2 linked regions of the Nothobranchius furzeri genome follow. The protein of the gene in region 1 binds, or shares a complex with, the protein of each later gene. Links are inferred from orthologs where the notes say so. Each region holds a gene or a part of one and is shown in the gene's direction. Other genes may lie near its edges.

Region 1 (4,483 bases):
TTTGACATTGTAATGTGATGTGAGTAATTAAAAGTTTGCACTGAACACTTATTTGTAACATCAGAAAATCCTGGCTGCATGAATTGAAGGTGTGTCTATGAAAATCGGCTTGAATGAGCCAATTCAACATGAGAACACGCTGTTCAGATCTGACTGCCATTTAAGGTTGTTCATGTCTTCAGTCTGTCTGTTCAACGTTGTTGCACTGAGAGGTTTCATTTTCCCTGGCTAAGGCTGCTCGTGGTCCCCTGGGAGACAGCAGAGGGAGATCCGGAGCACCCTGTTACCATCTCCACCCGCTCATCCAGACTCCAGCGTCAGGAATGTGAAACAACCCCAGGGCCCATGAAGCCTGAAGTCCCTCCTCTCTGCCACAGCAGGGAAAAAATAATGAGTTCATCATGCTGTTGAAGAGAAGGTTTGGTGATTTAACACATTAAAATCTCATTCAGGTCATAAAGTCATAGGTGTGGTTTTAAGGAGAATTTTAAGAATTTAACAAAAACTACGAAATAAAAAATAAAAAATACAGGTGAGTTAAACATTTGAAGTGGCACCTTTTAGATTTGATGTTTGAATTTTTTTTAAAGAACCATCATCTGTGTTCTGGCTAACTTTTTTAGGATTGTCAATAATTACAGCTGGATTAATTAGTGATTAATAGATAATAGCTGATTAGATAGATTTCTTTCCAGTTTCCATAAAAAAAGCACATTAGCAAAACATTTGTACTACACATGAATCTAATACTTAAGATATCATATGTGAGGAATGACTCTGGAGGATTTCTTTTCCAGCTCCACAATATTCAATTATTTCATTTTGAATTTCTTTTTTCCTAAATAATTATTACAAGTTATAAAAGTTTCTAAAAGGACAAATTTCCCAGGCAGTCTATTGACCCCTCCAAAGTTAACAGAGCTAAGAACAGAAACAAACTCAAGAAATAATAAAAAAAACAACAATTTTTTAATGAAAGAAACAAACTTAAAAAAATCACGTTATGACATTCACAATGAATATTATGACACAGAGAAGGGGGAATCTGAAGATTTCAGTACCAACATAAATATTGTTCAATCAATGTTGTCTCAAATGTTCCATGTTAGGTGTTTAAAAAGTTGTCCAAATATTTATACATTTGTAACTCTTTTGCTTTTCATTTTAGTTGACATAACGTCTGAATTGTTTTGTTTCGAGACAGAATCAGCATAAATCAGTCTAATCTCAGATAAAACGCGCTTGCATCAATCTTCCACAAATTACATTAGCTCAAATGTTGGCCAAACACTTTTGTCGCCTCCAAGTGGAGAAAATGTAACAGTGCATATTGACTACGGGAGACGCCAGTTCTTAAAACCATCGCACCTTAAACCGTTACTCAAACTTCCATTTTCATCCGGGATACTCCTTGGCGCTTTATTTAATTGGTTGCTGACTAAAACCTTAATCTTATTGGCCAGAGAAGCTCTGAGAGGCGGGACATCATGTTCAGTTGCGATTGCGAGGGTGAAACCACCGGTATCCGGGTACTCCAGCACGTTGTGAAGCCGCTAGTTAACAGGCAGCTGCTACGCTGGTTAAAAAAAGTCACATTATTTCAAAGCAACGTTTTCATTTTAATAGTTTGATCAGTTGGTGAGTTGTTTCGTTCCTATTTATGCTATCCTATTTTCGAAAAAGCAAATTTTCATTTCGCCGCGCTTATTTGATTAACTGGGTTGGCGTCCCGGTCTCCGTCTATTTTCTGGCCTTGCGATGATGTTAGCTGGTTTTGGCCATTGTAGCTAAGCTATTACATAGGTGTTATAACTGTGCAGTTCGCTTAATTATTAAATTATTTAAAACACAAGGCTGTTACTGAAAGTTTGAAATTGTAACTTATTTGAAAATAATTATTAATCCCCAAGTTTCGCTTTTGCTATTTCAGGAAATAGCCACCGCCCTTTCAGTCGTGACTCCCGTTTTCTTTCTTTACAATATTACTTTCCACATTTGGAATTGTATGATCGAACCGAATTTGGTAGTGTTTCGTTGGTTTTATTTGTGTATAAACTACCACCTTGGGTGTGTGGTCGCTAAAAGCGAAAGGTTAGACCAGGGACCGTGCGGGACACGTGCTGGGGCTCCTTCCGTAACCTAGCAGCAGACGGGTCTCTGTTCAGCTTTGAGGCCGTGAGCTGCTCCAGCTGTCGTTGTTCAGCTCCGTGGTGTGGCCGGGCGTCGTGCCATGTGTGCTCAGGTTATATCTGGTAACGGCCGCCGGACTGGCCTTTAGTCCCTGAGGCGAGCGGGGGCCTCCATGACTCCATCACGGCTGGCACGGCGTGGCCTTTGTCTGCTTACAGTTCGAGCACCTTTACTCAAGACCGTGACTTAAGATAATAAACACAAGTCCAAGCTTATCCTCTGCGCGCATCGTGGCCCGGTGGCACATTCTGATCTCGATGGATTGCTTTGCTTGTTTCTTTAACTCGGTTTCATTTCATGATGGATGGGATTTCGCTGGTTGTCTTTATGAGGATGCTCATTTCTGGTTCTGAATGATCTGATAGAAGAAGGATTAGACCGTAGCTTCTATGTGACTAACGTAAATTCTCAGGTTTGATTACCTGTTCTTTATTTGCCTCCTGCCTGAGCAGAAACAGGTTCTCTCACCAACTCATTCATCAAATGTTGCCATAATGTGCTGCATAACGCTAGGTGCCAAAATTATTGTTGCAGGATTGTTAAAAACTAAATGAAGACAATAGTTTTTGATGACTATTAGTTATCAATGTTTACATTAAAACATTTTACAGTTAAAAATATTGTCTTTGATCAGGAACCTGAGCTACAAGTTTTTATTTCATTTTTACAAATTGATGTAAATATATCAAGACTAATGATTTCACTCTCTGTAGTCTGTGGAAGTAGCTGCCTTATGAATTTCTCCACTGTCGGATTAATGAAGTTATTTTATTCTGATTCTTGGATCAAATCACCAGTTTCTTTGTCCCTACTTGGAATCACAGTCCGTCATTTTCTTTGTCAGTGACACTTTTCTTATTTGCAGAGATTTCCAGTTGACCAAAGAAATGGTGATGGAGAAGCCAAGTGCCCAGCTGGTCGGGCGAGAGTTTGTCCGACAGTATTACACACTCCTGAACCAGGCCCCCGACTACCTGCACAGGTACGGAAGTCAGCTGCTTGTGGAGGGTTTGATTTTGAAGTTTAAATGGTTTTATGATAAATTGTTAAATATTTGTACAAACAACTAGTTTGTCTTTTTGTTCAGGTTTTACGGAAAGAACTCCTCCTATGTGCATGGTGGCCTGGACAGCAACGGCAAACCAGTAGAGGCGGTTTATGGACAATCTGTAAGTGGGCTTCACCCAGTTAGAGGCATTTTCCAGCGGCAATACTTGGTGCAACTCGGGAGGGTTCGGTTTGGTCTGATTGCTTTTGTCCAACGGCGCGTTTTGGTATTTTTCCCCTGCTTTCCCTCTACTTTTCAGTCCCTCTGTTTTGGTTCCAAGAGCTGAACCGGTATTTCGACTGTCGGCCACTGATTGGCTAGGGGGCGGAGTCACTGGTTGCTCCAGAGCCTTCTGTCTGCTGTCTGAAACCATAAAACTGAAGAGTGTTCAACATCACCTTTATTTTTGTGCAGAGTTGTTTCTGTGGAGCATGCAGGTCACCTCACAGTGTGTACTGATGACCTTGTGCTATTTTTGTCGCGTAAAGATCCCTGCACAAGCAAATGCTGTGGTCCCCCCCATCCGCTATGAGGGGTGCACCCACTTTTTGTCTCTGAGCAGGCAAGGAAAGCCAAGTACTCTGTGGTGAGCCGAGTTAACCCACGCTGCACTGAGCTGTTTTAGCCTGAGTAGTGCTGTTGGAAAAGGCCTGTTAGGTGTGTCTCATAGTCTCATGAATCTAGAATGTGAAATATTCATGAATATATTTTCTTTTCAAGAGTCATTGTTACACACTTGTTTTTTTCTTCCAGAAACTAAGTTTTCTAGGTAGTTTAACATTCTGATGAATGTTTATCAGTACTTTCTGATTTATTAATCCTCACGTAAATTGTTTTATTCTAATGCTTGTTAAAATAACCATTATCGCTCTTGTCATGTAGTTGGATAATTGAGAAATGATTGATTGCTGTTAAATGCCCAAATTAAATCTTCAGTTCGTTAAATCTTTTGAATTTTTTTTTTATCAGGAGATCCATAAAAGAGTGATGGCTTTGAGTTTCCGAGACTGCCACACTAAGATCAGACATGTGGACGCTCACGCTACTCTGAACGAAGGCGTGGTGGTGCAGGTGATGGGCGAGCTGTCTAATAACATGCAGCCCATGAGGAAGTTCATGCAGACCTTCGTTCTGGCACCAGAGGTTGGTATTAGATTATTAATATATTTTTTTCATTGATCTGATCAGTTTATTCACATGCATGTTTTTCCAGGGTACGGTGGCAAATAAATTCTACGTCCACAA
Region 2 (4,245 bases), on another chromosome or scaffold:
TCACCAATGAAAATGTTTTTAAATAATAGAAACGTGCTAATTTTAAATGTGTAACCAACGTTATATTTCACGTCCTTCATCTCTGTGAGCCTCCACATATGTTCTCGTTTCCTTGTTGACATATTGGTTGAATCGAACAATTTGTTAACACTTTGCTTTGCAGTTTACTGTTGCTGATGCGCTCATTCGCTCACTTTTATTTTTATCTGTCACTGTCTCTAAATCCCTCTACTCCGCCCCCTCCTTTTGGTGCTGGGCAGCATCCACCAAAACAGATGGTCCAGTGTCAATGTGGCTGCTATTAACTGGCCGATCCCCCTCCAACTCTGATCTCAGACGGCAAAAAGCACATTTAAAATGTTGTTTGACTCTGTCCTGACAAAGGTACCGTGATCCTGCTCAGTCCAACACCATCGACCAACGTTAGAATGGCCTGTATTTGTACAGCGCCTCCTAGAGTTCTACAACCCCCCGAGGTGCTTCACAGCACAACCAGTCATTCCCGAATTCACACACACATTCACACGCTGGTGGGGATGAGCTACAATGTAGCCACAGCTGCCCTGGGGGCGCACGGACAGAGGTGAGGTTGCTGAGAACTGGCGCCACCAGCAGACAAGGAGGGTGACGGGGTGTCTTGCCTAACGACACAATAGCAGAATTCCCTGCCAGGAGCCGGGATCAAACCTACGACCTTCCCATTATCGGACAATCCGCTCAACCTTCTGAGCTCTGCCGATTTGTTTTATCTCAAGAAATAAACTTTTTTTAACAATATTTGTCTCTTTTTTTTACACGAAGATTCACAATCTAATTGAATTTTCCAAACTGTTTAACCCAATGAATGCAGTGAGTCATGCTCTGGCTGTTTCCTGTTCATTTAGGAGTCGGGATCTCCTGCCACGACTGTGACTGGTTGCTGCGTCATCACTGTGCCACACCCTGCTGAGGAAAAGGACAACCACCTGACCTTGACGCTCAGCCCAGCAGCATTTTTCCTCTGTTTTTTTTTTAAAATCCAACTCCCATTGAGTCTCCCTGTGTTTTATTATGTTCCAATGATGCATTTCCTGTAAATAATCTGAATGTTTTAAAGCAGATAAAATGTTGTATCTCTTTTATTTGCAAAAACATGAAATCATTCAACAATATTAAATCCCACACATCCTAATTTTGTTCGTTAATCCTAGTTTAAGTTCTAGCTTCTTTTAAGTGTCTGCATCCATGTCTGGTGAACTCACTTGAAAAGGAGGAGAAAAGAAGCAAATCTGAGTGATGGAAGAGGAGGAGATGATGGTGCTGATGCTGATGCTAGAACAGTTTTCCCACCTTGTGGTGACAGAGTGAACTGTAGCTGCTTGAATGCACGAGCAGTGGGGGAAGAGGGAGTGATGCAGAGGGAGGTGGAGGGGAAAAGAGAGAGAGAAAGAGAGAGAGAGAGAGAGCAAAAGGGAGGGGAGTTTAAACTAAGTGCTATGTTTTGGGACAGGCTAATCTGCTAGCGAGCAGTGTGAGGATCGGAGCGTATTGTGTGAGCCAGTGTGTGGGGGACAGATAAGGGAGCCAGCCAGCCTACCAGCCCGACCCACCGACCCGCCGAGTGCGTGTTTTAATGTGCTAACTCTGGGGAGATTTTAAAAGACAGCAGCGTATTGACTCCTCAGACGTGTGCGGAGACCTCGGGCACAAACGCCTCCACTAAACAGCCGCAGCCAGCAGAAGAGCATCAGCAGAGAAAGAGAGAGTGAGAGAGAGAGGGAGAGAGAGAGAGAAAGAAAAAAAGAGCAGGGAACTGAAAACAGCACCAAATCCTGAAATCAAAGAGGATTTTTTTATTCTCCTCTTTTTTTCTGTTTTCTTTCTTTTTTCTTGTTCCTGGGACAAGAGGGGCTGACTCCCAACTGCAGAGAACGGCCAGAAAAAAGCTGAAGAGAATCTAACAGTTGAAAGGACAGAAAAAAAACCTCATCGAATCTGAACATGTTTGAAATAAGCCGAACACTCAACGCTGCTTTGTTGAGCAATGAGGTAAAGATATCTGGATTTACCTTTTTGTGTTTGCATCTCACCTTTGTATGTCTGCTGCCAACCATTCTGTCATTTGTGTTATAGTATGTCTGCGTGTGTGTGTGTGTGTGTGTGTGTCCCTACACCTCGGTGTGCTTGCATCCAGAAGACAGAAGGGATGATTGATAACAGCAGCTGTTTATTTCTGAAAATGAAGGGACCGCTATGCTTCTCACACTCATTCTGCCTTGTAATCATAAACAGAGAGCCAGAGCCCCTGCCTCATTGTAATAAAACCACCGTAGCCATCTAGCCCATCAAACATAGGCTTTGCTTGTGAAATTGTCCACCTGAGGCTAAATCTGTATGTGTGCCTTCATGTGCACGCACGGCGTGAGTGGACGTGTGTGGCTCTATGTTCACACGTGTTGGTGTGAGTGCAAAAATGTTCTCGTAAACCCATCCACCTCCCTCTTTTCTTCAAGGTTTTTCCCCTCCTCACTCCCTCTTCTGTCCTTCCTACCTGCTGTTGTCTGCTCTCCTTCCCATCTAAGACACCCCTTTCCCTCTCTCTCTCTTTCTCTCTCTCTCTCCCCCTTCCTCCCCCACTGTCTCTGCTCCCCTCTCCTCCCGTGTCTTTGTATGAGCGTGTGTGTTCTGTGAGCAGCATCTCAAGATGATGGCGAGGTACGGGCAGCTCTCGGGACTAGCAGCCAGTGGCGTGGGCACCGTCCCCGAGACGCACTCGCCGCTATTTCCCAGGGATCTCCTGTCATCGCCCGTCCAGATGGGCTACAGGTCACCCCTGGTAAGAGGATAGACAGACCAACATACCTCTGCCTCTTTCATGAGCACAGGCGAGCGTAAAACCTGTAAATGAAAAGGCTGTTGTGGTAGTTAGTTTGGATACGGTGTGTGTGTGTGTGTGTGTGTGTGTGTGTGTGTGTGTGTGTGTGTGTGTGTGTGTGTGTGTGTGTGTGTATTGGAAAAAAAAGAGTAAAAGGGGTAAAAACCAAAAAAAGAGCAAATCAATTATGGGATTCTGCCTGTATCCCCAGTGGAGAATATTAGTAAATATTTACATTGTTATGTTTGTTCAATTACAGCCGCCTACTCTGTCTTTAACCTCTGCCAGTCATATTACTATCAAGGGAGTTTGAGGTGTTTGTGTGTGCATGCATGCATGTGTGTATGCATTTGGTAAATTTGGTAAATGCTGCAGCACTAAATGTCCAGTTTAATTTCCTTAGGTGTTCTAGCTATAGTTTCTGAAGAGCTGCTCAATGACGAGTTGTAAAAACTTCGGATTTTAAAAATGAAGTCTGATTTCATTAAATAATTAATCAGGTAATTTCTAATCGTTCCATTTTACAGAATCAGAGAAAGCAGGAAGTCTGCAGAGAGACATTTTCCACCAGAGTCAACATTACGCTGCAATTTACATAGTAAAGATTACTTGAGGCAAAAGGGACCGGGAGAGGAAAGGGGGCATGAGGAAAACCTTAAGTGTTTAGGCATAAAAAGGAAAAAAAAAAAGCCTTGTAAGAAAATCCCTGACTCGCTGCATAAAAGCGACATGAAGCTGTGGGTGTCTAATCTGCTGTGGGCTCCTCATTGGTTCGGCTCCCCTTCTAACTGGCTCAGATCCACACCCCGGAGCCTCCCGGAAGCCTTCATAGCCCACTGTCATGCTGCTGACTGTACCCAGGGGTGTCCGTCAAGTGTATGCTAATTCGTGGAAAAGGGATAAGCAGTGGAATATGTCCATGAGGAACTGAGCTTTAAAAAAATGGCTTTACTCGACTTCAAAGCCATCTGTCCAGCGCTTTGCTGATGCTTTTCTGAACGTGAAGCACTGTGTGCTCCGCTGGCTGTTTAGACCCACAGCAGCGTTATCAGCTGTCTGCATGAAGGTGCTGAACCACAAACCAGTGTTACCTCGATTTATGACATAAATACAATTGGCACATTAACGTATTACAATAAATCGTTTAATCATTCTAATGGCTCAATTTCCATCTGGGATTAATAAAGTATTTTTGAATTGAATTGGATAAAATTCTGTGGCGCTCACTTTAGGGGTTATTGTCAGGGAGGATGCATCTCAACAGGGAAGAAAGGAACATGCTTGGATTAAATTAAACGTAAGCATTAATTTCAAGAATTGTAATGAAGTCATTAAGCAGCTTCATTTATTACAAAAAATGTTTGTTAATAGTAGATTTGCGGGGATTTGGT

Evidence for each region.
Region 2: g3bp1 (region 1) and elavl4 share a complex: the UniProt entries of both Homo sapiens proteins name them as parts of the TAU mRNP complex. The link is inferred for Nothobranchius furzeri from reciprocal best matches to the Homo sapiens genes G3BP1 and ELAVL4.

What each region holds. Positions count from the first base shown.
Region 1 is NC_091741.1:69,282,834-69,287,316, reverse strand, and holds the start of g3bp1 (ras GTPase-activating protein-binding protein 1), read left to right. Parts: upstream 1-1,503; 5' UTR 1,504-1,638; intron 1,639-3,055; 5' UTR 3,056-3,077; coding exon 3,078-3,172; intron 3,173-3,277; coding exon 3,278-3,359; intron 3,360-4,207; coding exon 4,208-4,381; intron 4,382-4,451; coding exon 4,452-4,483. UniProt on the Homo sapiens protein: Protein involved in various processes, such as stress granule formation and innate immunity. Plays an essential role in stress granule formation.
Region 2 is NC_091748.1:56,521,580-56,525,824, forward strand, and holds the start of elavl4 (ELAV-like protein 4), read left to right. Parts: upstream 1-1,420; 5' UTR 1,421-1,980; coding exon 1,981-2,028; intron 2,029-2,674; coding exon 2,675-2,815; intron 2,816-4,245. UniProt on the Homo sapiens protein: RNA-binding protein that is involved in the post-transcriptional regulation of mRNAs. Plays a role in the regulation of mRNA stability, alternative splicing and translation.